3 linked regions of the Notamacropus eugenii genome follow. The protein of the gene in region 1 interacts with the protein of each later gene in a pairwise test. Links are inferred from orthologs where the notes say so. Each region holds a gene or a part of one and is shown in the gene's direction. Other genes may lie near its edges. The genes, in order: NUTM1, P4HA3 and ZMYND10.

What was found.
Region 2: the proteins of NUTM1 (region 1) and P4HA3 interact in binary tests that used the Homo sapiens proteins (3 or more experiments, as listed by UniProt). The two-hybrid records come from large-scale screens. The link is inferred for Notamacropus eugenii from reciprocal best matches to the Homo sapiens genes NUTM1 and P4HA3.
Region 3: the proteins of NUTM1 (region 1) and ZMYND10 interact in binary tests that used the Homo sapiens proteins (3 or more experiments, as listed by UniProt). The two-hybrid records come from large-scale screens. The link is inferred for Notamacropus eugenii from reciprocal best matches to the Homo sapiens genes NUTM1 and ZMYND10.

Annotation. Positions count from the first base shown.
Region 1 is NC_092878.1:17,206,980-17,217,336, reverse strand, and holds the start of NUTM1 (NUT family member 1), read left to right. Parts: upstream 1-6,083; 5' UTR 6,084-6,195; intron 6,196-6,415; exon of another isoform or gene 6,416-6,785; intron 6,786-8,795; 5' UTR 8,796-8,818; coding exon 8,819-9,513; intron 9,514-10,357. Other genes in the region: NOP10 (H/ACA ribonucleoprotein complex subunit 3), read right to left, coding at 4,127-4,267, 5,605-5,658. UniProt on the Homo sapiens protein: Plays a role in the regulation of proliferation. Regulates TERT expression by modulating SP1 binding to TERT promoter binding sites.
Region 2 is NC_092876.1:130,972,204-130,982,837, forward strand, and holds the start of P4HA3 (prolyl 4-hydroxylase subunit alpha-3), read left to right. Parts: upstream 1-5,752; 5' UTR 5,753-6,080; coding exon 6,081-6,313; intron 6,314-10,634. UniProt on the Homo sapiens protein: Catalyzes the post-translational formation of 4-hydroxyproline in -Xaa-Pro-Gly- sequences in collagens and other proteins.
Region 3 is NC_092872.1:4,967,358-4,978,651, forward strand, and holds the start of ZMYND10 (zinc finger MYND domain-containing protein 10), read left to right. Parts: upstream 1-6,662; 5' UTR 6,663-6,819; coding exon 6,820-6,911; intron 6,912-7,123; coding exon 7,124-7,235; intron 7,236-11,294. Other genes in the region: GATOR1 complex protein NPRL2, read left to right, coding at 569-646, 735-826, 2,120-2,288, 2,758-2,866, 3,782-3,918, 4,029-4,126, 4,320-4,356, 4,833-4,926 and 3 more. UniProt on the Homo sapiens protein: Plays a role in axonemal structure organization and motility. Involved in axonemal pre-assembly of inner and outer dynein arms (IDA and ODA, respectively) for proper axoneme building for cilia motility.

The DNA of each region.
Region 1 (10,357 bases):
CTGCTCCCCAAAATCTCATACTCTATTCAATTTAATTGTAGCTACGTGGTGAAGTGGATGGAATGCTAGAGTCAAGAACTCATCTTTGTGAATTCAAATAGTAAATCACTTCACCCTGTTTGCCTCAGTTTCTTCACCTGTAAAATGAACTGGAGAAGGAAATGGCAAACCACTCCAGCATCTTTGGCAAGAAAACCCCAAATGGGGTCACTGAGGATCAGGTGAGACTGAACAATGCCATGTGCCTGTTGCTGATCCTGCACCAGTGGAGACATCTTTTTACACCAGCAGTTACCTAAGTAGAAGAAATCACAGGTCTAGACCAAATAGATATGTACATATCTACTCTGTATATAGGGTATACGTATACGTAGCACATAGGGTTCTTGAAGGCTGTGTCAATAGATTATAAACTGATTGGTATCCAAATGTAGATGAATACTATTAGACTTGTTACCTGCAGAATTAGTCATGAATTCCCTGTCCTTGCACATGCCACGTGTTCCTTTATATATGTGCCTCTCCATTTTAGAACTCTATGGACATCTACTCTTCCTGTTTAAGATTTATGAAATTGAATGCTCTAGGTTTATGAGATAAATTGCTACTGTCCTTATTGTGTCATTTCATTTCCTCTGATTGACTACAAGTAAGCACACTTTTTTTTTTTTTTGAGTTTTGAGTTGTAGTTTCAAAAGGAGCAGACTCATGGAGTACTTTGAATAGGTGGTTATTTCCAGAGAAACCAAACTGTGATTGCAAGTTGGGGAGATAGTCTAGGGAGAGAGCCATACATATAGTGTATATTTATGTGTACACATATATACAAATTCATTTCCATTAGGGTTTTTTTCCTTTTTGAAAAAACGTAGCTGAACGTAGTTGCCTCCTCCCAACTCTGCAGATGTCATAATCTAAAAGTATACTGCTACTCTATATAAGTGAATACTTTGGGGAAAAGCCTTGAGTATCTATACAAAAGTCCCCACGAAAAAATATAGGATAGCATTATTCCTGGGTTTTTTTTGTATGAGGAAAATAAAGTCAAGCATGTTGATCACAGCAAAGTCTCCAACTAGAAAACTGAGAACTCACTGCTTGCAGGTTAAATTATAAAAGTCCCCAACTCAAGTCATCATCCCTAATGTCACTACCTATTCTGATCCACTTCAGCAACTTGCCTTCTCATCTTCAAAGACTGAAGGGTAGTTTGCCTGTTCCTAAAGCTTCTTGGCAGAGCTGGTCAGGAAGTGAGATCCAAGAGGGGATTTTCTATCCTTTTGCAATAGAATTTATGAGACAGTCAGTTTAAAACAGGTTTGAGGTCTGAATTTTTGATTCAGGGAAAAAAATATATGTTTATATAATTTACTAATTAATATATAAAATATTATGATTTATAAAACTACATAAAATTATGTATTTATATAAAATTGGAACAATCCTCTTATACTTTTTCTTCACAAAGCAATTTTCTCATCAGTGGCAGATTCATTTTGGACCAACACAAACACGCAAGCTGTATCTCTTTAACTTAAAGTTGAAAGGAAACTGAAAGATTATTCTAACACCTGCAACTACATGCATGGATTCCAGCTCCTTAAGGGTACGAAATATTTCTCATTTTTGTCTCTGCAGCCCAGTGTCTAGGGTTTTCTTCTTTTGGAAAAGTTGTTCTCCAGGATAGGAACTACTTCTACCACTTGGTAGAAAGGATAAAGCCTAATTCCTCAGGACTTAATAACGTAGGTTTTTAAGAGCTGGAAGGGACTTTAGAGATCATGGAGTCCAACTTTTTCATCCTACAATTGAGTAAACTAGGGTTGAGACACATTAAGTAACTTGCTCCAGATCACATAGCCAGTGTCAGTCAGGTTATACTGGCTTTTGAGCATGCTTCCCATCATATTGCCTTTACCCCCTCCTCCTTTTTATCCCTAATGCTTAGCACAGTGCCTAGCATATACAAGGAGCCTAATATGTGCTTACTGATTTCCTGAGCAGTTTGGGTCTTTCAGATGGTATGTGACCAGATACCATTGGAGACCTGATAAACATCACCTCAGTACATTCAGCCTAATTTTATTGTGCTGGCATATCCATCATCTTAATATTTGAAGGTTACCAATGAGTTCTAAGTACCTCCTCCCTCATGCCCACTAGTACTATCAACACTTGTTTCTTCACTTATTAGCCGCCCATTGCTCCCTATAGGAATCTATCTCATCAGCACTCTTACCTGAATTATTTCTTCCCTTCCTAGTTCTCACTTCAGAGATCTAATTCAAACATCAATCATGTTTTAGTTGTTGTTCAGTGTTTCAGTCACATTCAACCCCTTGTGACCCCATATAGCATTCCTATACTACCCATGGAGTTTTCTTGGCAAAGATACTGGAGTGGTTTGACATGTCTTTATCTAGCGGATTAAGACAGATTAAGTGACTTGCCCAGGGGTTACACAGCTAGGAAGTGTCTGAAGCTGTATTTGAATTCAAATCTTCCTGATTCTAGGCACAGGACTCTATCCACTGAGCTACCTAGTAACCTCCTATTGTTCAGTAAGTATTAGTCATCACTCTCACCTACATACACTTTCAAGGTTGGGTACTTTTTGAGGAACTGGGAGATTAACAAAGGGTTGGCAGGAGGCAAAACCATTCAATTCAAGAATTTGGATAAATAAGGATAGTCAAAAAACTTGTGTCTTCATATTTTCTGTTGGGGAGTGACTCAAATATTCTTCACTAAGTGCAGAAAAGCAACAAGGTTATCCTTTTGTCTATAAGACGTAAATGCGAAGACACAGTCTGCAAGACTAGGTCAACTTGTTAACCTCATCGTCTTCCTCAAAAGAACCATCTAATGCTTTGACTGTGACAGTGGGTTGTCTTGAGGTCTACAAACAGTGAGAGGAAGATCTCCTGGTTTAATAAAAAAGACTTTAGACCATACCCCATCAGAAAAACAGACAAAGAATTAGGTTTTTCAAAGTATGACTCTACTGCTCCTGGAGGTTTCCTTGTACTCCCTGTGCTTAAGTTTTCTTTAGGTTAACACCTCCCAAAAGACATTTGCACTTGTGGGTTTCCCTACATGCAAAGGGAGAGAGGGAAATAAAGTCAAGAATTTTGGGGTTCTACCACAAAGCCCTAAGGTAAATCTTTGTTGTTTACCGTCAGACATGGATTGATCAGAATATTAAAACTTAATTTTTTAATCTTTCTACTTGTTCAACCCTCAACCTGAAAACATTTGTCACAATGTGTGGCTATTCTCTTAAATTGATCTGAGCTTCAGAGGATTCTTTGGTTAAAATTAATCTGTTCAGAAATTAGGAGAAACTGTGAGACTCCAGAGAATAATAGCCCACACATGCCTGGTGCCTTAAGGTGTACAAAAGGTTTTCCTTAGGACAAAGATAACCTCTTTGGTCACTCAGTCCATTCAGAAGACATCTCTCATGGGCACTGCTGTGTGTGCTATGTTGAATATCAGTGTCACTATAGAGGGGAAGGAATTCAAGACTATCCACAGGACTTAAGAATTTAGAGATAAAAGAAACTAGACCATCTAGTCCAATTTGATTAATTTTTACTGAAGAAAATGAGGACTTTTGAATTCCAATGCAAACATGCTAGTATTCTAAAACAATAATAAAAATGGATATTATTTTTTGATCAGAAAAGGGAATAAGCATTTCTATAGCTACTTCATGCCAGGTGCTGTGTTAAATACCTTTTTACAAATATATTCAGATCATCCTGACTCCAGACCTAGTACTCTATCCACTAAGCCACCTGGCTTCCTCTGATCAATTCAAAGACTTTTCTGCCCCCAATTAAAAAGGAAAAATAGATCTCTAAACCATTTCAGTTTTAATAGCCTACAACATTGATTAAAAAGATATGGCAACTTTAGACTTTCATTTTAGCTTGATTGCTACCAAGTACAGAGAGGAACACAGGCAAACTGCAGCTAGATTCTAAGAAGCAAGTGTACAAAGGGCGTCATTTTAAACTTGTGACAATGGGTTAAGAGAGTCAAAGATGTAAGCTCTTCCTGAATGAGGTCTCCTAGATGTAGGACAAGCTTCTTGTGCCAGAGTCCTGGGTGGTTTGGTAATTCAGAGGACCAATCGTGCTTGCTGGGTCATGAGAACCTTGAATCTCTTCTTGATGGTGATACGGTGTCTGGAGTACTTGTCATCTGGGGAGAATCTGGCTGGGTGCGCTGAACAGGTCTGTTGTCCTGCAGGGTCTGTTTTCTGTTAGGAGAACAAAGAGAACCGAATGTGAATTCTCACATCCAACACTGCCACCAGTCTAGTACAGGCCCCTATTACAGCTATGAAGTGATTTTCCTAAAGTACAGGTTTGATCACATCACCCACCTACTCAAACTTCAGTGTAGCCCTATTGCCTCCAGTATCAAATACAAAACGCATTTTTGGCATTCAAAACTCTTTATAACCTAGCCACTACCTATCATTCCAGTCTTCTTATACCTTACTCCCCCCACCACATATTCTTTGATCCAGTGATACTGACCTCCAGGCTATTTGACAAACTTGGCACTCTTATCTCTTGGCTCCAGGAATTTTCTCTGGTATGCCCCATGGGTGGAACACTACCTACTGAAGTCCCAACTGAAATTCTACTTTCTACAGAAAATCTTCCTCAGCCCCTCTTACTTGCAGTGCCTTCCTCCTTGTTATCTCCTATTTATCCTGTACATAGCTTGCCATATATATATATATACACACATTATAAATATACACACACACACATATATTTGTCTACGTTGTCTCCCTCACCACATCGTAAGCTCTTTGAGGGTACAGCTTACTCTATCCCCAGTGTTTAGCACAGTAGGTTTACTGATTATTTTGGAGCAGAACCAGAGAAAAGGTCGAAAAGACTCGGACAGGCAGGGAGGACGAAGCTGTTTATTTCTCCTCATCCATCCCCTCGCCCCAGCCCCAGCATTACCCTGACCAACAGACCAGACCTGGGCTAAGGACGATTAGGTCCCTAGGCTGTGGGTGCCGAGGGTATGCAGGGACAACCTTTTCCTTCCTTCTGTTTCCCACAGCCTTGTGCATAGTAGGTCTTCATGAAGTCTGCTGACTGTGAGGTGAGATACTCAGACGACAAGGTCTGGGATACACGCTGAATTCCGCGGGATTTAGGGCTGGGCGTGGGGAGCGAGCTCCTTCCAAGCGCAAACCCCACCCAACAGCCCCGAGTCCCCCGGCAGCGCCCCCCGGAATCACCACGGGGGGTCCCCGCTGGAGGGGGGGGGCTCTTCTTTTTACACTCTATGCCGGCGCCAAGCACAGGGTCCGGGCACAACGAAGGCTGCCCGCCTCGGCCTCCGTCCTCCTCCTCTTCTCCCTACACGACCCTCTCGGTACAAGGCAGTGACCCGGGCCGGCCGCTCCCCTCCCTCGGCCTCGGCTCCTTCTTCGTTAAAACAATAACGAGGCCCGACGGAGCCGCCGGTAAGAGCGTCTACACAGGCCGCTGCCCAGCTCGGCCGCGCAGGGCGGGAACGGAGCTCCCTCCTGCGTCTCCACCCCCCAAGTGCGCCTCCTCTCCGTACCTTTAGGGTGTAGACCCGATCCCCTTGCTCGTTGAGGTAATACTGCAGAAACATGGCGGCCAATTCCCTTCGCGAGGCGGGCAGGCCACGGGAAGACTCGGCCACAAGCAGGCTTCCACCTCCGCCTTGGCCCGGGAGCGCGGACCCACCCCCCGACCACGTGTTTGTTCCAGGGACACTTCCGGGAAGTAGAGCCCCCGCGGCATGCTGGGAGGTGTAGTCCCCTCCTCTTCTCCTCCTGCCCTCCTGAAGGGGGAGTCCTCGCCCTGGGATTGCACTAGGGAGCGCATCCCTATGCTGGAAGTTGGGAAGGGAGTGGGCTTCGAATGCCAGGGGAGGCCATTAGCCACAGCCCATTCAGGGATGGAGAGGCCGCTGTTTTTGAACCCAGAACTTGAATATCCCTCCCCTGCATGCAAACTGCAATAAGTAGTCCCATGGAAGAAAAGTAGCGCCCAGAGCCTTAGAGGGGCGAGGAAATCCAGGCGCCGAGGGTGCCCAGGCCGCGGCCAGGCCCTGCCCTCCATCTTGTGCGGCTGAGAACATGGAGGCGCAGGCCAGCTCAGGCCCTGGCTCCCCTTCGCCCAGGGGGTAAGTAGAGGCACGAGGGCCGGGGCGCCCAGGCCTGCGCCGCACCCTCCGGGGGTGCAGAGGCGGCCCGGCCAGGTGCACGGGGAGGGGCGCTGCGCTCGGAGGTGGGAGATGGGGACCTGCACCGCCCACTCACCTGGGAGCCGCGGGGGGGACGAGGCTGGAAGGTGCCCCTCCGCCCCCACCACGCACGTGGAGAGCTGGCGAGGACCCGCCCAGCCTCGTGGCCCAGACGTGGAACTGGGGCCGGCCACGTTGAGTGGCTTGCCCATTCAGGGTCGTCGCCTGAGTTGGGTTCTGAATTCAGATCCTCCCCGCCGAGCTCTCCTCCCCCTCTTCCCTAGAACATTCCTCGGCCCCCTGGCCTGGCCCTCACTCTTCCCTCCCTTCCCCCACTGCGTAGAATGCACGGGTTTCCAGGTTCCAGTTCTGTTTTGATTCAATCTTTTCCCTTCTGCTGCCCTCAATTCTTGGGCAGCTACTGTGACCAGGTGGCCTTCTGGGCCCTGGCCCTGACCCTTGTGCCATCCTGGAGGCTGCTAGGCAGCCCCGATTAGTGCCCAAGCCAGAGGGTCCAGTCCCAGATGGAGGTGAGCGGAGCTGGGGGCCTCTCACAAAGATCCGTGCCCCCTATCCCCTCGAGCCCCAGGGAAAGAAATTTGGGACTGTAGCCCTGGGGATCACCTTTGTGACCTGCACTGTGGGACCCAAGAGGAAGACAGACCAATGAATCCATCCCATGCTCAGGCAACAGACCCGGGGAGGTTGGGGAACCAGTTTGGAGCCTTGGGGTTCACAGAGCCAGCCTCTTCAGAGCTGATTTGGGATGCCTTGGAGGAACTGAGCCAGGGAGCTCTGAGTTGAGAGAGAAGACCCACTAGCAGATTGACTTAAATAGGCAAGAAGCCTCCAGTCACTAGGCATTAGCCACCTTAAAGAAGGACAAAAGGACTTAGTAGAATTAGGTCTAACACTTACGTCCTTCTTTCTGGCAGAGACCCTGTTTTCCCAAGTTTTTGCTTTAGAAATTGATATTTCAGCAGGGATATATTCAATCAGAGAGGACAGAGGGAATTGGATGGAAAAGACTTTTGACAGAAATTTGGCCAGAGTGGTCCTCTTTTGCAGAGGCATGCCCTGAACCTACCAAGAGACTAGGAGGCTTGGGGAGAACCTCAAAACAATACCCCCTCCCCCCTTTCCCCATAGATTAATATAGAATACAATAACTGCCCTAGGGTTGAATACCTCAGTTTCCTTGACACCTAGAAACCTCTGTTTTTGTTTGCCCAGGGAACTTCTGGAACTTGTTTCTTGCATTTATCAGGGGCTGAAGGTTGGGGAGTATTGGGGAGGTGGTTAATACATAGTTATTCAACCACAGCTGGAACATAGGCAGTACTGATTTACTCTGAGTTGTTTCATCTATCCTAGGATCCTAGGCCCTCTAACCCATTTCATCTTGTTCCCTCCCTCTTTCTGTTATGGCTAGCATGTCCTGACCCTTCCCTGCTTGTCATCAGAGTGATGAGCTTGTCTACCATCATCCATGACTCCATGATCTTATTTTATGGTCAGGGAGGTAAACTGTGTGTGAGTTTCACGTCGTTTGTGGGATAAGGTGGATTGTTAAATTCTTGTTATTATTAAATGGAGGCATCTCCTTAGAAGGCATCTTATGTATTATATGTGGTGTTATATTTTCTTGTATTCCCAGTGCCTTGTGCCTCGGAAGTGCTCAATAATTACTTGTTAATTTGAAAGCCCTTGTCCTTTCCATTACTGAAGGAATAACCTAGGTAAACGATAGAGAGAATCAGAATCAGTGTTAGGAGCAACTGCCACACTTCACGGGGTCTATCTGCTAGCTCTCTGAAGCGTAAGAAAACCTGTCATTTTTATCCACCTAGTCTACTACTACCTCCTTTTGACTAGTTTTTACTCCTCTGGAGTGGAGAATCTCTAGGAATCTGTATGGGCTTCCCCTCCTTACCTTAAGAAGATTCTAGAAGGAAGATTATTAAGTGGCTAGAGATGGCTGGGAGTAGGGGGAATGTCTCTGATTTTACTTCTATAAGCAGAAATGAATGAGTTGTTAATTGGAATGAGAGTTTTAGGGATAAATTGGTTATGGCTATAGAACTTTTTTTATTGTACTTTTAGATGAGAAGAGGAATAGGGGACTTAAAAAAAGGAGCAAGGAGATGAAAAAGGGGAGGAATGAAGAAACAGGGCCAGGAACCTCTCTCAATTGATCTCTAATTTAGGAACACCAAAGGAGCCTAGGGAAGGGCCAGATTCTAGATTCTCCCATCAGATGCTCAACCTCCTAGTTGGGGACATACTTTGAGTTGTTATCTCCTGCATGTCAACCCTGTTCTATGTCTTGGGACACCACACAGTGGAGGTAGACTTCTAAGAATATCCTTAAAGAAGTTGTCAGTGATATTGTAGACATTTTTTTTTATTGGACTGGTAAAGATGTTTACCCTATGAATTAGGGGACCAGCTCTGCAATGTATCAGGGTCCAAAGGGTCCCCAGATGTTGAGGCCTCTAGCTGCCTCATTTCCTGCTCCAATCCCTCCTTTTTCTCAACAGCTCCTTCATTGTCTGGACCTGAAATGACCCCGAAGCCTGGCCCTGTCCCACCCTGTACTTCACTTCCATTACCCCCACCCCCTCCAGGACCATCAGACAAGCCTCTCTGGGAGCCACCACCTCAAACTCCCATTTCTTCACCATTCCCACCGGGTAGCCCCCTGGTTCTGTCTGCTTTCCCTAGTACATTGCTGGTGACAGGGGATGGGGGAGCAGGCCCTAGCGGGGGTGGGGCTGGTAAGGTCATCGTCAAAGTCAAGACAGAGGGGGGCCCATCTGAAGCCCCCCGAACTCAGACCTTTATCCTCACTCAGACTGCCCTCAATTGGATTGCCCCAGGTCCTCCCCGTGGGGGCCCTGAAGGCCCCACTCCCCGGTTCCTGGCAGCCACCAATGTCAAGACCATTCTTCTTGCTAAGGCTGTTGGGGTGGCCCAGGCTGGTGAAGGAGAGGGACCCCCTACCCATCCTCCCCTGGCCCCACCACCCACCGCCCAACTAGCTCCAATTATACCCCCAGAAAAGGCTTGGCGGGGGCCAGATGGGACTCCTGGGGAGGGAGGTCCACCTCCACCTTGTCCCAAACCCTCTCTGGGTGACCTTTCCTGCACCTCCAAGGGTGTTTATGAGAACTTTCGTCGCTGGCAACGCTACAAGGCACTGGCCCGGAGACACCTGCCCCGGAGCCCTGATGCAGAAGCGCTTTCCTGCTTCCTCATGTGAGTGCTTGCTTTTGGAGTTACGCTTGTAGACTCCTTCAGACTTTTTATTCTTGGAAGGAAGAGTCAGGAGAAGCCTGATGGATTATAGACTAAAGTTGTTTGGAAATATCCGATGGTAGGTCAGGGGCCACAGTGCAACTTCCCAGAAAAAAGATAGTTCCTTCACATTCATTTGTAGGCAGAGCAGTTAAAATGGGTCAGCAGGACAGGGATATTCCTAAGGGGATGAGGGTCTGTAAACAAAAAACACTTTGTGCCTTTAGCTTCTATTTATACTGTGTGATCAAGTTTAAATAACCATCAAGGGCAGCCTTGAAAGGGAAAAAAGGTCGCAAGAGGGTGGCATACATTCTAGGAGATATATAGATATACATCTATATATATATTTTATCCTCACAACAAGCCTGTGAGGTAGGTGCTGTTATCATCCCTATTTCCCACTTGAAAAAACTGAGGCAAATAGAGGCTAAGTGACTTGTCCAGGGTCACATATCTGAGGCAGGATTTGAATTCAGGTCTTCCTGATTCCAGGCCAGAGCAATAACTATTTCTCTATCCAGCTGCAAAATTTATCGAAAGTAATGTTGGTGGGTACTAGCAGCTAGAAGAAATCAGGAAAGACTTCATTTGGAAAGGGAGCTAAGGATTTTAAGAGAGAAAGTTAAGGAGGGTATGCGTTCCAGGCATGAGAAATGCCCTCTGCAAAGGCATAGATGTAGGAGTACCAACAGACTTGGGCTGCTGAGTCTTCTTCATTTTGCTGACAAAAAAGTGGGTTGAACAGACCAGAAGCATCTAGAAGGTTCCTGTCCCTTCCAAAAAAATGTGCTTGATACATATT
Region 2 (10,634 bases), on another chromosome or scaffold:
GGGAGCTAGTGGGGAGGGAAGGGGAGAAAATTTTTAAACTTAGGGGAAGTGAATGTACAAAACTAAAAAGAAATTAACAAAAAAAAGAAAAAAAGAAAGAAATGTGTAAAAGAAGACTATTCAGATTGAAAGCTGAGTCTTTTAATCCCATTTTTAACTGCTACCCATGCCAAGATTAGCAGATGATTCTTTTTAGACTTGGAACATCCATCTTCCTTCTGTGGCTCAAACATAATGCTGTTTTCTAGACCAGGACTTCCCTGCTGATTTGGGCATGCTGGACCACATTCCTTTCTCTAAACCAAGTAATCTCAGCTGATCAAAAAGCTGCTGATGGTGGCGTGATAGGTTTTGGGATGTCCTGGCCATTCCGACCCAATGATTTACTTTCTTCCTCCCCCTCCCCAACCCTATGCTTGCCCAAAGAAGGTCAAAGAAATGACACGGGCACTGTTCCCATTCCCTAAAATATAGACTACATCATGTTCCGAAGAACATAATAACATAAGAACATAATGACTGTCAAAGCCTATTCTAGTTTTTTTCCCCACTATTCAGACCTTCAATACTTAAAGGATTCATGAATTTGTCAGTATAACTCCCTTCACTGATAAAAAGCTCTAGTGTCAAATTCACGTAAAAATGGGGCCACTAATGTGTATATAAGGATCCCAGTGGGTAGCATATGGACTTAGTTTTCAAATGTGATATTATGTTCTATTGTATTTTTCTATTTTGTTAAATATTTCCCTGTTACATTTCAGTCTGTTCCTCTGCTGGTTTTCATGAGCTGCTTTTACTGAAAAAAAGACATTACCCTTTCTGATGATAAAATAACACTGCCGGGGCTATTTTTGAGACCACAATCCACTCAAAGACTTTCCAGATTGATAGTGCCTGCCATTGTTTATGCTCCATTGGCATACCTTTGGAGAGCCCAGGGTCACCTCCATACCACTGCAGAAAGGTTCTTCCAGAGGGGTTCCCTTCCAGTAGCCAACTACTGCTCTGGATCCCATGCTCCATTCAGGGGCCTGAAGGGAATCCATCTAGCCATTTTGCCTTTGCTAACTTTGGTTGGGGGTGGGGTGCGGGTCCCTATGACCTGGAGTGCTCTTAAGACATATGCCTATTATATTTCTGGGACCTAGGGCTAAGTGGGGGAAGGGGAAAGCAAATTTAGGTTTAATTGAAATGGAAATTTGCTCCCAGTAATGGAATGAGCTGGGTTGGGGAGGGTATTTTACAGTGGTCAAGCACAAGCTGATTAGGGGGATTTTTGCATTGAAAACACAAAGGAGTCTAAAGTAATGCTGAGGGTGGGAACCACTGTGTATGTAGATCATTTTAGCTGGAGTGAAATTTTGCAAATTGGGAAGTAGAGAAGGGGCAGTAAAAGGTAAACTTAATTACTGCAATTGATCAGACTTCCTAGATTCCTGCTGCCACCTGGTGGACACAACCACCTATCAATGTCTCAGGCTCAAGATCAGAGGTAGAAAGCATCTTTTAGGAGACAAAGCATTAGCAACTTTAGTATCTCTCTCTCTGTCTGTCGCTCTTTCTTTCTCTGTCTCAGTCTATCTCTGTCTCTGCTCTCTGTGTCTCTGCCTCTGTGTCTTTGTCTCTATGTCTCTGTCTCTCCCCCCCACCCCCCACTCCTCGCCTCTCCATTTTTTAAGTGGAAGAAACAGACCCAGAGAGGGAAAATAATTTGTGAAAGGTCAGGTAGCAGGCCTGTCAAAGACTCCAAGTGTTACGACTTCTCTGGTTCCTTTCAATTTCATCTATCATCCACTGACAAATATATGAGTACTGTATACAATGTTACGGTCACTGAAAACAAATGAAAGGGAAGGATTTCAATCATTTTAAAGAGACCTCCCCAAATGAGGGTAAATTGGTCCCTATCCCTGGGCCTCAGTTTTCCTCTTTTGTTTTTTAAGGTTGAAAGAGATTCATTCAGCATGTGTGCAGAACTTTCTTGTACTCAGCACTGGAGGAAGATGAAGGCAGAGTTGGTTTTTCATCTTTGTCTCTTTCCTGCCTATCACAGGGCTTTGCACATAGTAGACACTGTGTAGCTATTGAGTTAAATTAAAATTGAGGCATTTGTCTTTTCTAAGCCTACATTCCTCATCTGTCCAAATGGGAAATATTTATACTACCTGCCTCTCAGGATCATGCTAGAAGATTTACAAAGTTCCAGAGGGAAGTTCAGAAGACAGGGAGGACAACTCTGAAACTAACATAAATTTACTACATGTGTTCTTTTAAAAATGAAGCTACATGTAATAGAGAATTGTGGCTTCATATACAACCCTTTTTTCTTTTTTATAAATATATGGAAATACTAAAGTTTTATATTTGTCAAGTACAAAAACCAAAAGGAAGTTCAAATTTAAAAATTAACCAAGTTCTTTGGAAATATTATCATCTTTCTTGATAGAATTTAAGAACTTAGGGCAGGAACTACATCTGTTCATCTTATTCTCCCCACTCCCCCCCACCCCAGGCCAAGGTCAGGGCTCTCTACGCAATGTTTCTCAACAAAGGTTTTTTGAATAAATGAAGCACTTTATTACATGGTATCTTTTGGTGTCCTCTGAGTTTGTGGGCAAGTATACCCTGAGACTATGCACAGGTCCCTTTTCCTCTGTAGGTCTGAGTTTCTGTAAAAATTAGGAACTACACAGTGTTAGTGGCAAAACCCAGATGCCCAGGTTTCCGATCTAGGAATGATAACAATGAATAATAACTTCACATCATAAACCATAAAGTGCTATGGAACTGAGGTGGGGGGAGGTCTTACATCATTTAATTTGATCTTTATTTTATCTAAATTTTATCTTTATTTGATCTAAATATTTTTTAAGTTCCTACTATGTGCTAAACACCGTGCTAAGATCTGGGGATACAAAGAAAAAAGTGAAAGTGAAAAAAATTATTGCCTTCAGGGGGCTTCCATTCTACTAGTAGGATTTACCACATCCTCATCTAAGTAAGGTGTGTGTGTGTGTGTGTGTGTGTGTGTGTGTGTGTGTGTGTGTGTGTGTGTGTGTGAGAGAGAGAGAGAGAGAGAGAGATTTGGGGAGATTACTAGGAAAGACCCCTTGTTTAAAGAGGTAGTTCCTGAGCTGAGTCTTAAAGAGAGCTAGTGAGGTATAGTAAAAGTATTGTTCCCATTTTATAAATGAATAAATTGAGGCTCAGGCAAAGTAACTTGCCCAAAGTCAAATAAATAGCTAGTATCAGCTGGGATGGGAACCCAGGGCTTATTCCAAATTCAGTGCTCTTTCCACTATACTCCCTGCCTCTTAGTACTTTTTAGGAGACCAGCTTCATGTCTCCACAGCAGAAGTGGAAGTGCTTAATGGCAGACAAAAGACTTTTATGTCTTGTCTTTTCCCCTACTCAGCACAATATTAACCACAAGGCACAGGCTCAGTAAATAGAAAATTAAATTGCCTCACCTAGAAATAGGTTCCAGGTATCAGTCTTCACTGTTAAACAAAAGACAAATGGTGCAATCTTCAGTGAAACATGGTAGGGCAGTTCTGATACAATACTAGAAAAGTGTCACCATGGGAAACTGAGGAAATAAGAGAAAATTGTCAAGAAGGCCATACATTCCAAATCTCCACCAGGGGGCACTCTTGGCATTAGAAACATAGAACCAGAGTCTTGTCAACCTAAACACTACCCTCTCCAAGAACTTTCTTCCCCACCTATTCCCTGCAAATTTGGTTTATTTTTCTCCAAAATAAGGGCTAGGAGTGCTATCTTCTGGGCAGTAAGATGGCACAGTGGAGAGAGTGCTAGGCCTGGAGTCAGGAAGACTCCTTTTTGTGAGTTCAAATCTGGCCTGTGACACTGGGCAAGTCACTTAACCCTGTTTGCCTCAGTTTCCTCATCTGCAAAATGAACTGGAGAAGAAAGTGGCAAAGCACTCCATTATCTTTGCCAAGAAAATCCTAGGCGGGGTCGGAAAGTTAGAGATGACTGAATCACTTTTCCCCCTGCTGGTCTTTTTGTTTAGAAATGGCAACATGGAACTGTCAAAAGAGTTCTGGATGTGGAATCAGAAGACCTGGGTTGGCATCCAGGTCCTACCACTTGTTCAACATTGAGCAAGTTACTTCTCTCCAGGCATTTTTCTCATCTGTAAAATAACAAGGCTGGATTAGTTGCTTCCTCCAGTTAAATCTCAAGGTTCCTATGACCTTCCCTGACAAACAGGAGTATAAGGTAGATAAGATGAAGTTACTTTAGCGTGGCTCTTGAGTTCTCACTGGAGAAGAAAGAGGAAAAGAAAAAAAAAGTCGGGCAAAATCCTGACTCTAGCAAAGAAGGTATTTTCTAACTAGAAGCTTTCCTCTGAGGAAGTACTTAGGAAAGAAGCCAGAGAATGGCAAGTGCCTTAGGCCAGAAGTCCTAGCCCTGACTATGCTTCTGATTCTTCTGTGTGACTTTAAGAAGATTCCTTCACATCTGCCTCAGTTTCCACCTCTGTAAAAATGAAGGGTTTGGATTTGATGATCTCTAAGGGTCTTTCTAGCTCTGACATTCCATGGTCCTTCACTGTCCTCTCCAGTGAAGACTGAAAAACACTAAATAGGTTAGTTACTAGGACAGGCCGAGAACACCACCAAGAAAGTTCTTTTCGTCCTGTACCTAGGACTTTTTTTTCCTGTAGATGCCAGTCCTCTCTAAGGGAGAAGCTTACTACCAGACAATATACAGGATCACTGTCAGGACTGGAGGGGATCTTGCTGTCATACAGACCCATGCAGACTTGAAGCTGGAAGGGACCTTAGAGGTTATGTAATCCAATCCTCCTATGCCAAAGATGAGGAAACTGGGGCTCAGAATGCCCAAAGTTTCAAAGGTAGTTTGACTCCAAGTTTAACTTTGGCTCTAAACCTAATATTCTTTTCTACTCTCATTTAGATATAATTTCAAGATTTACAGAGTTTACTTTCTTTATAACCTTTTTCAGAAGGCAGGTACTCCAAGTATAACTTGTCCCCATTTTATAGGTAAGGACAGAGAAGCTCCAGATTGTGTGACTGGCTCATGGGCCCGCAGCTAGTCAATGTTAGAACTGGGATTAGAGCCCAGGTCTCTTTCTGACTCCAAATCTAGTGCCTTGCACCACATTGCCTATCATCTGGCATTAGAGAGAGAAAAGGCTGGAATGACTCCTTAAAGAGGATTTAGGATGTTCAGAACTGTAAGGGGCCTCGATGTCAGGCCTGGAAGGAACCTGAAGAGATCGTTTATTCCAACCCCCTTATTTTACCCAGGAGGAAAATGAAGCCGGGGTGGAGGAAAGGATTTGTGCAGGGCTGGACAAAGAGCTGGCTGCAGAGCTGGGATCAGAATTCGGATCTCCTGTCTCCCAGCCAAGGCTCCCTCTGCACTCTGCAATTTCAGAGTTGAGGTTTAAGGAGCAATGGGAAAGGAAGAAAGCCTAATGGGAAAAGGGGGAAGGGGATATAGCCAGGTGGGAGGGTAAAACCAAAGTGATGGGAACTCAAGAGAAAAGAAGGGTGTGGGGTAAAGAGAAGAAAGACAAGAGAAAGAGTTGAAGAACGATAAGGGGGAAAGAGCTGAGGGAAGAGTGGTGTAGGGGAGAGGACGAGAGGGAAAACAGGAAGATAAATGTATATATAAGAAGTGGGGGAGGAAACAGGCAGAAGGGGAAGGGGGGCTGGCGGGGAAGGGGCAGAGCTATATGGTAAGAGGAAGGGAAGGGGGAAGGGAACTAAGGAAGAAAGGAAGAAAGAGAGCAGAGAAAGGGAGAAAGCAGACCGCGAGATGGGGAGGATGAATGTATGAAGTGGTGGAGGTGAAAAAGCAGAGGAAAGAACAAGGGAAAGTGTGAAAGGAGAGGCAGGGGATGTAGAGAGGCTGTAGAAGAGGGAAGGAGGGAGTGGAGCAGAGAAAGGGGAGGAGAGGAGAGGGGAAAGAAAGAGGCAAGGAGCAGAGGAGGAGAGATGTGAGGAGGGAGCCCGGAGAGTGCAGGGGAGCAGAGGGAGGAAAGAGAGCGCTGGGAGGGCAGTGCAGCCCCTGGCGGCATGGGCCCCCCGGCGGCGCTGGTGCTGCTGGTGCTACCGGTGCTGCCCGCCCTGGAGCTGGGGGCTGGGGTTCGGGCCACGGAGGCGGGGGGCGGCCCGCCCCGGGGCCGCGGGGAGGACAAGTTCTCGGCGCTGCAGAGTGTGGAGCGGGCTCTGGGTCCCGAGCGGGAGCTGCTGCGGCTGCTGGAAGGCTACGTGCGGGGTGAGGAGGCCCGTCTGCGGGACCTGCGCAGGTAGGAGCTGCCGGCTGGGGTGAGTGTGTGTGTGTGAGTGTGAGTGTGTGTGTGAGAGTGTGTGTGCGTGTGAGTGTGCATGTGTGTGCGCGCGCGTGTGCGTGTGTGTGTGTGTGTGTGCGCCTGTGTGTGAAAGCGCACGGGATCCTGACCCACCGATCCTGTGGCTACTTAGGACACTCCGTGTGTGACACTGTGTATTTGTGTGAGAGGGAACACTTTGGACACTAACTCACAGCCCCTGTGGCTGCTTAGGACACTCCCAGTGTGTGATACCGACTGAGTGTATCAAATGAGACTGTGTACAGCATTTTGCCACCCTTAAAACACTATAGAAAAACCAACTGTTACTATTCTTGAGCTAGGGGTGTGTATTTTGAGACCCAGGATGTGCCAAGGAACTCTGTGTCACTCCTGAGATACAGCATGTGATATTGTAGAAAGCCTGGTGCTGCGAGGTAGCATGTGTAACATTGTCTCAGTAAAGTGGACTGGGCTCCTGTGTGAGACACAGGACCCTGAGACACTATGGTTTCACACTGTATGAAAGAGAACAAATAGATGAAGGAGAGAAACCCAGATGATGGGCTGTGAGCTCCTGCAGGACTGAGACTCTTAGCCAGCTCTGTATAAAGGAGAGGCAGTGTGGCGTGGTAGATAGAGAACAAGACAGTCAGAAAGACCTGACTTCAAATCCCTCAGGGATTTGCCTGGGTGACCCTGGGTGAATCACTTAACCCATTAGTGCCCCAGGAAATTTTCTAAAATTAAGACACAAAGCAGTTACAGATCTGATCTGCATTGGTATAGTGAATTTCCTTACTGGGAGATCCCTACACTGATGAAATCACAAGTCTAAACCAAAGCCTGAATTAAGACCATGTATTAATTATGTTTGTGTCATCCCTGTGTGCTGGGCATGGTGTATGTATGTGTGAAGGATGGCGTGTTAATATTTACTCTGCATGCCAGTGATACTGAGTATGTGACATTGTATGGATCACACTGAATGAGTCGATGTTGCCCTGTGTGAATGTATAGCACTGTGGGTTATGCAGACTGAGTGGGGCCAGAAAAATCTTAAATGACACAGTGTGATGCTGTAGGGGCAGGGCTGTGACCTTGACACCAGTCCCCAATGACTACTAAGCTCTGTGACTTGGAATGATTGTGTTTTACACCATGGCTGAGAGAGACAGGCACAGACAGACACAGACTGAGACTGTGAGACACATGGGAGGAAGAGTGAGATTCTGTTTGTGATTTGGTGAACAGCTGAACATTGGTATCCAACCAAATATGACTGCACACAAGAAGAATGATGCATTTTTTTGGTCAGTTAGCTAATGTGTATGTGTGAGACATAGTTTATCTACATGTATAAAATATGCATGAGTATGTGCCTTAAAAATAAATGATAATGGTAGTTTTGATGATGATGTAATGGTGGGGGAAATTAAAAAAATTTTTTTCTTCCATATTCCCACAGGCTTTACTTTTATCAATTTCTTCAAAGTAGAATATTTTTCCAGTATTTTGTGGATCCAAGTACAGAAAGAGTCAGAAAACATACTTTAATTCCCAAAGTTAGAGCAGTGGAAAGGAATACTAAGCCTGATCCCATAAGACTAATACTAAACGTGTACTAATACTAAACTAGTCCCACCTCTACCATTGTGTGACCTTGGGCAAGTAAATTACTGCCTCCCTGGGTCTCAGTTTCCCTATCTGTAAAAGGAAGAGGTGGGAATAAATGGTGTCTTAGGTCCCTCCCATCTTGAAATTCTATGGTTAAATGAGATAATGTACGTTAAGCAATCTGCAAACCTTAAAGCACTACATACGTGTGAGTTTATCTTCTGTCTAGTTTGGACATCCTGCATTTTAAGGTTCATCCAATTAGATTGTGAGCACCTGGAGGGAAGGGAGTGTCTTTTGCCTCTTTTTGTATCACTTGCACTTAGAATAATTCCTGGCACATAGTAGGCTCTTAATAAGTGTTTATTGATTGATTAATTGAGCCCAACTCTAATAATCAACATGCTAAGTTCCCTCCCCTACCCCACCCCTATTCTGACATCCTGTGATTCTATGGAGAATCAAAGCTCCTGCATAAATAGGCTATTTTTATCCCAAGTATAGCCTGACCTGCTTGTTCCACACACAGCCTGGCCCACTTCTGCTGTTGCCCAGCTACAAGGTCCCATTGCCACCAGCATCAACTTATACAAACTTTTATTAAGCACCTGCCTTTTGTAAGGCACTCTGTTGGGTGCTGTTGGAGAGAGAGACACACACACAGACAGACAAAGACAGAGACAGAGACACAGACACAGAGAGACAGAGACAGGGAGAGGAATGACATAGTTCCTGCCTTTAAGGATCAGTGTGATGTCTGGGAAAGAGTACTGGATCTGGAATCAGAAGACCTGGGTTCAGACTCTGACCCAGCCCCTTTTGACTTGTCTGACGTTGGGCAAACCATTTAACCATTGTGGCCTTCGCTTCTTCATCTGTAAAAAGAGGGAGTTGGAATAGATGATCCCCAGGGTGACTCTCAACTCTGAATCTCTTTTCTTATGATACAAGTAGGTAGCTCAGATATGGGCACCCAGTAGGAACAGACTGGAGCCAGTTCATACTAGCTTTTGAGAGCACCATTGTTAAATTTTCAGCGTGAGCATTTGCAGTTTGTTGTTCAGTCCTTTCAGTTGTATTCAGCTCTATGATCCCATTTAGGGTTTTCTTGGCAAAGACACTGGAGTGGCTGGCCATTTCCTTCTCTAGCTCGTTTTACAGGTAAAGAACTGGGGCAAACAGGGCTAAATGGCTTGCCCAGAGTTACACAGCTGGATTTGAACTTATGAAGATGAAGCTTCCTGATTCTAAGCCCAGTTCTCTATCCATTACACCACCCGGTTTTACTTTGGAAATTGGCAAATCAGGACTCAGCAGAGTCTAGACCAGGGGTGGGGAAAAATGTTAATATTATATTCTACTGTTAAACTTATAAGTTTCTGTTTTCCTCTCTCCCCAGGAGCTAATTATTAAACATTTACCAGCACATCCATGGACATACATAACTACAGTACAAATAAGAGTTTAGTAAGTAGTAGCACAAAATACACAGAAAGTACATATTTGCTTCTAAATCCCCTAGATTGTAAACTCCTTGATAGCAGGACCTGCCATATCTATTCTTGAGTCTGTTAGTCAACAAACATTTGTTAAGTGCTGACTATCATGCCAGACACTGCTAAGCAAACAGACAGTGCTTATAAGAGGTCCACACTTGCTGCTTTCACCAGCTCATCACCCACTCACAGAATCATATACCGGCTGAAAGGGAAGGAACCTCAGAGGCCAGTTCTAGTCCACCCCAAACATGAAAAAGAATCACCAGTGTACTTTAGAAGTGGGTCTCCAGTTGTCACTACTTCCTGAGGCAGCCCACCCCACTTTTGTATAGCTCCAGTCATTGGGAAGATTTTCCTTAAATCTAACTGGTATCTGTCTCTTAGCAACTTGAACTCATTATTCGTGGCTCTGGTTCTGGAGTCAAACAATGAGCCTATTCCCTCTTTCCTGTAGATGTCACACCCTAAATCTTTTTTCTAGGCTAAACATCCTCAGTTGTTTCATTCAGTCCCCAGATGACATGGTCTTGAGGACCCTCATCCATACTGGTTAACCTCTGCACATGCTCCAGTTTGCAGTATCCTTCCTAGAAAGGAACTCTCAGCCTGAACACAAGACTCTAGCTGAAGGACCCAGCAGGATTGTCCTGTATGCTGTCCCTGCTCCTCTATGCTGGGTATCTCAATGCCATCTAAGACTGTGTCAGGGTTTTGGACTGCCATATTTTCCTTTTGACTCATATGGAGCTTTCAGTACACTAAAACCCCCCCAACACTTGACTTGCTGTCTAGCCATACCTCTCTATCTCGTACTTAACAAATTTGTGTTCAGCCAAATGTGATGTTTTATACTTGGGTATCAGAGACTGGATCCAAAAAGATGTTGGCAGGCTAAAAGATTGGGCTGAATTTAATAAATTAAAACTAAATATGGCTTCAGAGGACAGAGTTAAGAGCACTGACTAGTAGTTATGGGGAAGCAGATTTGGGTTCAATATATATGTATGTATTCTATAATCTTATTTATATAGAATATTGTATATACATAATATTATATATAATCCATATAAATATAAATATATATATATATATACATACACAGAAACCTAACATTCTCTCTAACAATGAGAATTGTACAAAAGCAGAGTGGGAAAGGTAGTGAGCTCCCCATCATTAAAGGGCTT
Region 3 (11,294 bases), on another chromosome or scaffold:
CACCACGCGCCGCAGACTTCAGTGGGGCAACCCGTAACCATTCTGGAATCCCCTCAGCTCACCTGCCAATCGGCCCACTGCCTTCCAGCTTCTAACAGGAAGTGCCGGGAAACAGCTATTGTACCGCCTACGCGAAAGGGACTCCCTTCACTTCCGGGTGAGACTTCCTCCCGTCCGGAACTAGGCCAACAAGAGTCCCTGGATCCCTCCACTTAGGACGCAGTGCGCAGGCTCCCGGTCTTCTGGGAAGTGGGTGGGGCGAGGGAAGGCTCGTCCGCTGGCTTGCTACTGCGCAGGCGCTCGCGGGAGCCGGCTCCGTGTTTGCACTCACTCAGGTACGGTTTTGGCTGGGGTCGGGCCCGTGGGAGGTGCCAACCCCGCGTGGTCCCGGGAGGCTCCTGAAGCCGGGGGGGCTCGGGTCGGCAGGGCCAGCATCCGCCCCCCGGACGTGGGGAAACTGAGGCCAGCGTCGCGTCTTTCCCTCTGTAGCGCCTCCGGGGGCCGGGCTGGGGCTCCGTGCCCCGGCCCTGGGGGTCTCTGCGGGGTCTCCGCACCCCAGCCCGCCGCCATGGGGAGCAGCAGCAGGATCGAGTGCATCTTCTTCAGCGAATTCCACCCCACGCTGGGCCCCAAAATCACCTACCAGGTAGGCGCGGGGCGGGGCGGGGCGGGGCCGGGCGGAGGGCGGGGCCAGGCCGCCGCCCCCCACGAGCCACCAGGGGCTGCCCCTCCAGGTCCCCGAAGACTTCATCTCCCGGGAGCTGTTTGACACCGTGCAGGTGTACGTCATCACCAAGCCGGAGCTGCAGAACAAGCTGATCACTGTGTAAGCCCCGGGATGGGCCGGGGTCCGCCAGGGAGACTTGGAGGGGTCTGCCCCCCGCCTTCCACCCCCCTCGGGACAAGCCCGGGACTAGACAGCCTGCCATCACCTTCTCTCCACTACGCCCACCCCCCTCCTCACCACCGGACTCGCCACCTCCAGCCTCTTTCCTCCCCGTAGCGAGTTTATATTTATAAACCACAGATCTGATCGCATCCCTCTCCAGGGCTTCCCTCCAGGCATCTAAAGTTAAATAGAAATGTATATGTACGTCTGTGGCATTTACGGTCCTTCACGAGCTTCCTTCAGCCAGTATTTTCATATCCAGTTCACATCACTGGCCCTCATGCACTCTCTTCTAGCCAAAAAACTAGCTTGTTCGGCTTCTATCTAAAGGTGATGCTCCATCTCCTGTCTGTGTCTGCTCTACCCTGGGCTCCCTTCATAATTCAGTTGAAGGCCATGTCCTACAAGAGGCCTTTCACCATTTCCCCTGTTGCTTGTGCTGGCCAAATGCCTTGGTGTTTATTTTTCATTCATGTGGCACTTACTTATACATACACATTTCCCCTAGTAGAATATAAGCTCTTTGGAGGCATGACTGTTGGAGTTTTTTAACAGTGTCTTTATATCCACAGTGTCTGACACATAGTAGGTGTTTGATGTTTATTGAATAGAAAAATGCTTTTTGGAAGAAAAATTTGGGACAGAGATCACTTTTAACAGACTGGGGAGGAATCAAGGATGGTTTCACAGAAGAAGTATCACCTGATCTGGACCTTGAGTGGAACGTTGAGAGTGTGTACATTCCTTGACACAGGCAAAATCAGACTAGGAAACAGCCCAGCTTGTCTGGAGCAGAAAATATATAAAGGGAAATGATGTGAAATGAAGCGGAAGCATGGGTTGCACCCAGATTCTTGAATGCCAAGCAAAAGGAAGTTATATTTTATCCTTTCGGGAAGAGGATTTTGAGGAAAAGAGTGGTTTGATCAAAGCTAAGCTCTCGAGTAGTCACTCTGGCAGACTGCAGGATTGGTTAGATGGGGAGACTTAAAGTCCGAGAGACAGTTAGAAATACCATAATCACCTTGGCAGAAACTAAGCAGGGTCCGGACCAAGGTATTGCCAGGAGAGGCAAATGAGAAATATCACAGGGGCCCTGAACCACAAACCTAGTGAGGTCTTCTGAGGCCCAGCTCCTCTCCTATTCTGTAAGAGGTTTTCCAGAAGGGAGAGGGGTGACCTGAGAGAGGCACCTCCCACCCCTCTGTGCTGACTCTGCTTCCTGCTTAGGACAGCCATGGAGAAGAAGCTGATTGGCTGCCCCGTGTGCATTGAGCACAAGAAGTACAGTCGAAATGCACTGCTCTTCAATCTGGGCTTCGTGTGTGATGCCCGAGCCAAAACCTGCGCCCTGGAGCCCATAGTTAAGAAGTTGGCTGGCTACCTCACCACACTGGAGGTCAGGACCTGCCCCACCTAGCCCCTGGTATGCCCAGCTCCTTGGGGGCCCAAGCCCCAGTGCACTGAACCATGGTCCTGGTTCTCCTAGGGTAACTCAGCTTGGGTGGTAGAGAGAGGCACAAAGTCCTACTCCATACTCATTGAGTTGAAAGAGACTCAAAGACCACTGTTTCCTAGACACAAAACTGATGCCCAGGCAGGGAAAAGACTTAGGCTCCTGTGAACATGAATTTAAAGCTAGAAGGGAACAGAGATCATTTAGTGCAACCCTCTTTCCCCAAGCTCCAAGACATTCAGTGATTTGCCCAAAGCCAAACAACTAAAATGTGTCAGAGGCAGATTGGAGTTTTTTAAACCATACCAATCATGAGTGAAATGGGGCACCAAGGAATCTGCCTTCCCTGCTTGCTGTTTACCTTGATGGGCCTCATGGCAGCTCCCCTTTTCCATCACATTTTCCCTTGTAGCTGGAGAGCAGTTTTGTGTCCACAGAGGAGAGCAAACAGAAGCTAGTGCCCATCATGACCATCCTCCTGGAGGAGCTCAATGCCACAGGCAGATGCACCCTGCCCATAGGTAAGACCCCTGCATCCAGTCCAGCCTCCAGAGAAGGGCTGCTTGCACACTCTTGCCCAAATAAAAACAGAATTCAAAACTGTCCACACAGAGTCCCAAAAGATATGTGAAAAGATTTCGGCAGATCCATGAACTTTAATGAGAAGTAAAAGACATTTACCATTTCCTCCGATTATTTAAAAACGTGACTCTGAGAAGGGGTCTGTAGGCTTCCCCAGACTGCCACGGGGAACTCCACCTTATAGGCACAAAGCTTTGTGAAGGGAGAAGAGGGTGTGCCTCACCGTGAGGAGTATGACACCCAAAGGACAGGTCCTAAGTTAGGTCACAGACTGAAGTAAGTAGAGAAAGCCAGAAAAGAAAGGAGCTCCAAAATCTGGGGCCCAGACAGTGAACTTGGTGAGGATGGGCTGAGGGAAGGGCCCCCAGAGGCCTTGGTTCTGATGCTAGTTCTGCAGAGAACTCCATGTTTGCTCTCTACCAAGTGATTGTACCTTTGGAGTCATCAGCTTCCCTGTGCAGTGGGGTTTTTCATCCCTAGCTTTTCTACCGTGTCTGGGGAGAGAATGGGGGAAGATTCTCCCAGGATCCTAGACATTAGAGGTCATCCAGCCTTCTTCTGACCCCATCCCCATTATTTTGTAGAGGAAGAAGCAGGCAAAACCCAAATCTTATCGAGCCCTGGTTTCACCACCTAAGAAACAGGACTGGACTTTTCTGTGGCCACACAGCAAGTTAGTGATAGAGTATCAGTATGAACCTAGATCTCTGCCTCCTGGGCCATCATTCTTTCTACTGCACCATACTTTGGCATACAGAAGTGCTTTGAAAAGTATAAGCCTTTAGCAATCATGTGTGTGCAGCCTCGTATCCTTCTGGAAGGCTTCCTGGAATTCCTGTCATCTTCCTCTACAGATGAATCTAATACCATCCACCTGAAGGTCATTGAGCAGCGGCCTGATCCCCCCATAGCCCAGGAGTATGACGTACCTGTTTTTACCAAGGACAAGGATGAGTTCTTCAACTCCCAGTGGGATCTCACCACGCAGCAAGTATGGCCACCTGCTCAGGGTGCCTCTGGTCAGCCAAGCTTCTCTCTCAATCCTTCTGGGCAGTGGGGTACACAAATTGAACTCAGTGATGACATGACCACCTTCTCTAGATCCTGCCCTATATCGATGGCTTTCGACACATCCAGAAAATTTCTGCTGAGGCTGATGTGGAGCTCAATCTTGTGAGGATTGCCATTCAGAACCTGTTGTGAGTGAGCCAAGGACCAAGAGATGGATGGGGGAAAGAAAGGCACTAAGACCTGGGCACTACCAGTATCTGCCCTCCCCACCTCTCCCATTTACTAGATCTTCCCCCCTCTGTTGAGACCCCACAGATGTTATCACCCAGTTGAGAATACCTTAGCTAGGGGGTGGTGCTCATTGAGGTGTGTCTCCTGCAGGTACTATGGGGTGGTGACCCTGGTATCCATCCTCCAGGTAAGAAGGGGAACAGAGGGAGGAACGTTGTGTTTGGGAATGGAAGAGGATTTCCACTTCAGAGCATGACCTGAAATCAAGATGATAGTGCCCACTAAAAGCATAAGAAGAATGGGAAATGGAATTCCCAGTGGGAGTGGGGAATGGCCTGTGTGCATGGCTAGAGCAGACACAGAACTGGTTGTATGGCTGGAGAAACTGAGGCCCAGAAGGGAAAGGCCTTGTTTGAAGGGACACAGCCAGTATTCGGCAAAACTGAGGATTAGAACTCAGCTTTCCTAGTTTGGGTTTTTTTTTCAATGATGCAAATTTATTGGCTCCTTAAGACCATCCAATCTAACGTATTAATTTTTACTAATGGACAGTGGGGCCCAAAAAGCATGAGATTTGTCTAAGGTCACATAGCCATTCAGTAGCTGACTCATAGTTGGGAGCCAGTGGGTACCTTAGGCCTCACTCCATCTTTCCCTCTCCAGTATTCCAATGTGTACTGCCCCACACCCAAGGTTCAGGACCTGGTGGATGATAAGGCACTACAAGAGGAATGTCTGGCCTACGTCACCAAGCAAGGTATGGGAAGATGGGGAAGGATGAGGGCAAAGACACAGCTTCCAGGGCAACTGATTCCCTTACAGCAGCGTCTCTGGACAAACCTAAAGAAGCCACAGCCGGTAACAGTCCAGAAATTCCTAAAGCATTTTGACGTTCAAAAATCACTTAGCTCACAAACTTCTCTATAAGCAGTAGTATTCCCATTTTATGGATAAGGAAAGTGAGGCACAGAGTTTCAAGTGACTTGCCTGTGGTCATACAACTAAGAAGTGTTGGCACCAGTATTCAAATCCTGGTCTCTCCAAATTCTACTATGCAAAGGTGCCTTTACCAGAATGATAGAGAAGAAATGCTAATTCCATGCCCTCCCAACTGCCCCTCAAACTGCCCTGAGGCCCAGAATGATAGTGAGGAGCCCCAGGTACAGGGGCCACCAGCTTGCTATCTCCATCTCCATTCACAGGTCACAAGCGAGCCAGCCTCCGAGATGTCTTCCAGCTCTACTGTGGCCTCAGCCCAGGCACCACTGTCCGGGACCTCATCGGCCGCTATACCCAACAGCTACAGCACGTGGATGAAAGGTCAGTGAGGGTGCTGCCCTGACCTCAGAGCTGGGAGTGGGGACCAGAGATAGTAGTGGGTTCCCCCACCCCAAGGCTCCAAGCCTAGGGGCCTCTATTGGCCAGAGGAACACATGGGAGAGGGGTGCCTCACTTGTTTAGGGAAGGCCCCTTTCACAACAGCCCTGGCAGGAAGGCATTTGACCATCAGGGCATGAAAACTTGGAGCAGAGCTGGTGGTATTTATCCAGCATTGGTCCTGGCTGATAGCCAGCGCAGGCTTTATAACAGTGGAAGAAACTGAGGCTCTGAAGAGGGGACTGCCCAGCACACCTTCCACTCCACCCTGGGGCCTCACCTGCAGGGCTGCTGATTTCCAAATCTAACTCTTTCACACCTTTCCTGCTCTGGGCCTCAGTTTCCCCCACGTTCAGCCCTCTCAGAGGTCACCTGCCTCGGAGTCAGTGGTGCTGACCCTTAGTAGTTTCCTGGGGAGGTGACCCTGGCCCCCGGCCCTCCCACCCCCCACCAGGAAGCTGATCCAGTTCGGGCTGATGAAAAACCTGATGCGGCGCCTACAGAAATACCCGGTGCGCATCACTGCGGAGGAGCGCAGCCACCCGGCCCGCCTCTACACGGGGTGCCACAGCTACGACGAGATCTGCTGCAAGACGGGTGGGAGGAGGGGCCCGGGAGGCTGCAGAGGGAGGCCCTGGGGTGGGAGGGGGGACCCGGGGGACTGCAGGGGGGACCCGGGCTGGGAGGGGGGGCCCGGGAGGCTGAAGAGGGAGGCCCTGGGGTGGGAGGGGGGACCCGGGGGACTGCAGGGGGGGGCCCGGGAGGCTGCAGAGGGAGGCCCTGGGGTGGGAGGGGGGACCCGGGGGACTGCAGGGGGGGCCGGGGGGCTTCAGGGGGGGCCCGGAGGACTGAAGGGGGGGCCGGGGCAGCTGCAGGGGGGGCTCTGCCAGTGAGCCGCTGCCCCCCACACATCCTCCTAGGAATGAGCTACCGCGAGCTGGACGAGCGCCTGGACAACGACCCCAACATCATCGTCTGCTGGAAGTGAGGCCCCCTGCACCTGCGGGGCCACGGGAGCCCCCCGCCTGCACCTGCGGGGCTGGGGGGCGGCCGGGGCCAGGGCAATAAAGAGTCTTGTCAGCCCTCCTGCTCCGTCTCCTGCCTTTCCCCGCGCCGTCCACCAGAGGGCGCCGGCGCCCTGACGCTGGAGCGTCGCCTTCGTTTCCTTGGCGACGGCGACGCCAGGGTTTCTAACGGCCTTCCTAGTACCGAGCGCCCGCGAGCGAGCGCTGCCCGCAGGACGTCTGAATGCGGATCCCGCCCCAGGCCGAGGATGGGGGACTTGAAAGTGCTGCTGCCTGGAGAGGCCGAGGCCCTGGTGCAGGCCCTGCAGAGCTTCCCGCTGTGGGAGATGGGCTCCCAGGGGTGAGGGCGGGGGCGCCCCGGGAGGGGCGGGGGCAGAGGGGGCTCTGATCCCCACTGGAGAAGATGTGCGGGGCTTGTGACCCCGCGCTCCCGGCGCAGTCAGGGTGGAGGGTCCTGGGGCAGGGAGGGCTGGGCTGGGCTGGGGGAGGAGACACCAAGGCCAGCCTGCCCACAAGCCCCCCCACTGGGGCTCCACACTGCCGCCCGGCCAGGTGGTGTCGGCAGCATGAACAGGTGGAGAAGCTGAATATGCAGGCCATACTGGATGCCACCTCCTCCAGCCAGGGAGAGCCCATCCAGGAGCTGCTGGTCACCTACAGCAAGGTACGATAGCCCACGGGGTGCTGGAGGTGCTGAGAGGGCCGCAGACCCAACCCCCACCCTGACCACAGGACAAGGTCTTTGAGTAACTCACTTCCCTTCCCGAAGGCAGGCGTCTGCTTCCTTCCCTGTTGGAGGGCTCAGGGCAAAGTAGACGGGCTGGCCTCCCTAGGAGGGTGGCAACCTGTGTGACAGAGCCCCTAAGCCAGACTCTCTGTGTCTGACACCTAAATTCCACCAGTGGCCCTTTGATCCATGGAGGTAAATGTTAATGTGAGAGGGGTGTTCTTAGCCCCTTCAGATCAGGTGTGGGTGTGTGCCTGCAGCATACATATATATATAGACATAGATAAGACATCTAACACATACATCATGTATCCGATGACCCAAAGGGGAGCTCAGGCCCCTAGCCCACTGCCTCTGAAAGTGCTTCTCTTTCCTCTGTTCACTCCCCCCACCTCAAAGGGGACTCTTTCCCCTTTCCATCAACAAAATGAATTAGTAAGAATTACTTTAGTTCTACCTGCTGCGCCCAGCTCCATGTTTCCTACTGAAGGGAAATTCATTAGTCTGAGATTCCTTTTGATCTAAACCCTATGAGCCAATAAACTCTCATCCAGATCTCTATGAAACTGTGGACTAAAAGGGCTAGGTTCTAGCTCTGTCCTGAAACAAGGAAGGGAATAAGCATTTATTAAGCACCTACTTGTGTGCCAGGCACTGTACTAAGAAATGGCTAACACCTAGTCTCTGACCTCAAGGAGTTGACAGTCCTATGTCAGAGGGGGAATAGAAGAGAAATAACAAAAATGTTTAATGACAAGAGAAGATTTCAGTAAGCATCTGAGATAACAGGGTTGTACGGTTGTATGCGTGAGTGTACGATGAGACACACTTAAGTGTTTGTAAGGATTCTGACAAGGGAGAAAAAACTTGGAATCAAGAGACCTGGGTACAAATACCTGCTCCCAGCTACAGCTGGCTGTGGGACAACAGACTTCCCATTCCTTATCTATAAACTTACTTTCCTGGGCTGTTAGAAGGTAAGTGCTTTCTAAAACTTAAAGTGTGAAGGAAATGGGCAGAATGAGGTAAGCTAGTCAGGGAGATCAGGCTCCAATTTTAAAGAATAACAAGGTGGATTAGGGATTGGCCTCCTGGCCCCATGTGGCCTTCCAGGTCCTTGGGTGGAGCCTTTTCATGAAGTCCCAGTTTTACACAACAAATCCTTTTATGAAGGGAATTTGTTCTGTGAAGTTTGGATTTGGTCAAAGGGCCACCCTTGAGGTCCTAAAGGGCCACATGGGGCCTTGAGGCTGAAGGTTCCCCACACCTGGATTAGATCCTTGAAAAACTAAACCTCACTGAAGAAACTATGGGTTTCCTTCTTAATCATCAAGCATTTGTTAAGCACCTGCTGTGTGACCAAAACAGCCCTTGCCCTTAATGAGCTTGAATTCTACTGGAGTGAAACAACCTGTACAAAGAAATGGGCCCTGAAGGACAAAGTTCCTCTGTTGTGTGCACAGGCTCCCAGATGAGATAGGGACTATATGGCCAAGGGATCAGTGTGGTTGGAACAGAGAGGATGTGACAGGGAGTCATTTCTAATCAATCCAGAAAGCTAAGCAGCAGCATTTTATCTCTTCTGTCTGTCCTTGCTCTGCACAGCTAGGTTTCCCACAGAGTTGTACATTTGTCTACTCTACTCCCCCAAGGTTGACTCTGCCCTTGGAAAAGCTTACCAGGTGCTACCAAGAGAAACTCCCGTCTGAAAATAAAAGCACTTAACAAAATGTTCAACCACACTAACATTCAGAGATGCAAATTGGTTTAACTTGGAGGAACCACCTCACATCCATCAAACTCCCAAAAATAAAAACAACTAAACTCGATACTGGTGGGCTTCTGGGGAGAAAGGTATGCCCATTTGTCACTGGTGGAAATGCAAACTTAGAGCATCTCTTTGGAGGGCAACCTAGTCATACCCATTGACCCATCCGTATCATGAAGAAACCCAGAAAGTGTTATCAAAAACAACAGCGCTCTTTGTAATTGCAAAAAATGGGGGGGGGGAGGGCGGGGGCGCAGCAATCTGAATGTTAAATGACTAAATAAATTGTGGTACATGAATGTACTAGAATACTATAGTTCAAAAGACCAAGGAACATAAAGAACTGGAAAGGACCTTTATGAAATTCTGTAAAGCCCAAAAAAAAGCAGAACCAAGAATGAGCCAAAACAAATCCTGGTGGAGATGGAGGAAATGGCTGAAAAACCATGACATTTCATAGACTGAAATTAATTCAAATAATCATTACCAAGCAAATATACTTAAATTGATATCCAACATTAAATTTATAAATTAGAGGAGCGGCTATGTAAATTGCAGGACATTAATATAATGGCATACTCTAATGCAGTTAACAACGGCAATTATGAGGAATACCAGGAAATCTGGAAAGTTGAAAAATTCTGAACCAGAAGAATGGAATGATGACTAAGTCTGATTTGAAGATAGATGGACAAAGGGCTATCCTGGAGCTTGGGAATGACTGGAAAGTTGTCAGAGCACTAAAAAAATCAATCCCTAATGGATTAGGAATCCCGAGTCATCAGAGGTTACCCTGGATCACGTTTTGTCTGAGCCCTTGATTTGCACACTTCTCTCTCCAATTTTCCCTTGTGACTAACTCCTAGAATTAAGACCCCCGAACCCTAAATGCGCTCCAGTTCTGTCTTCTGGAGTGAGGAGCTGGGATGGAAAAGGGAAAATGAGAGAATGATGTGGAAGAAAACCACTAGCTACATTTTGGGATGCAAGCCTGCTGGAGACAAATTGTATTATTGTAATCTTAAGCATTTTTTTAAAGAAACTCCAAAGGGACAGAAACCTGTCCTGCCTTGGAAAATCTCCCCCCACCCGTTTTGAGTTAAAATTTATAGTTCTCCTAAACAAAGACAAAATTCCCCAATAAAAGCTAACTCATGGTCACAGCATTCAGGTAACACGACGACAGTGTTAGCCAATTTTCCTAGGACTGTTTAATCCCTCTCCAACTCTGGCTCCCAGGATTCTTTCTGCCCAGTCAGAGGTGAGCCCAAGAAATACTTCTGTCAAAGCCTTCTTCCTTTTCTAAGTTTAATCACTCTCCGAATCCAGTGGGGGATCCTGCCCTAGTTCTTTCCAGGTTTAGTTTTACACATATGTTAGGCCTTTGAAAAATAGATTTTAAAGGATTTCAAACTAATATTGATTAGACTTTCTTCTTAGGTGGGACCAAGGACTTCAGACTAAAGTGTCCTTAGCACAGAACCTGGGATGTAGTAGACACAGTAAATGCTTGTAACTTGTCATCTTGGGGCATTTTATAATACAGAGTGTCCCAAAGGTCTTAGTGCAGTAACTAGCTTAAAACCGCACTCAAATAAACTAGCAGTTTATTTTAATAACTAACATAACTAAAACTTCGATTTAGCGATTTCAGCACAGTTTTAAGCTAGTAAAACTGCACTAAGACTTTTGGGACAGGCTGTATATAGTCTAAAGAAGAAATGGGAAGAGGAGGAGGAGCTTTGTTGTGTTCGAAGTATAGGAAGTTCCTAGAGTCAACATCCTTGGCTACAGTGGCCACAAATGTAAAAATGGAACTAGGATGTTGATGAGCAGACCCCCAGCCAGGAAAAGGCCTGAAGTCAGCGTTTCAGCTGTCTAGAGAATGTTTAGACTGAGCCTTGGTTTCCTCCACTTTAAAATGGAGAAAATATAATACCTGTCTCCCAGAGTTCTGGTGAAGGCCAAGTGAGATGGCGTGTGTCAGCATACTTTTCAAACCTTAAGATGCAGTACTTTGCTCTTTCAGTTAATATTTCCATAAGGATAGTGTGAACAAGAGCTTGCTGCTTATGGAAGGTGAGAGGAGTCAACTCTTGAAGGCTGAGGGGGTCAGGACAAGGACCTGGATTCAGGAAGAAGGTGAAGAGATAATTAGCGCTGAGGAGCTCAGGGAGCTGGGCAGGACCTTAGAAAATGAGAGAAGGCTGACCTGCTGGAGGTCACTC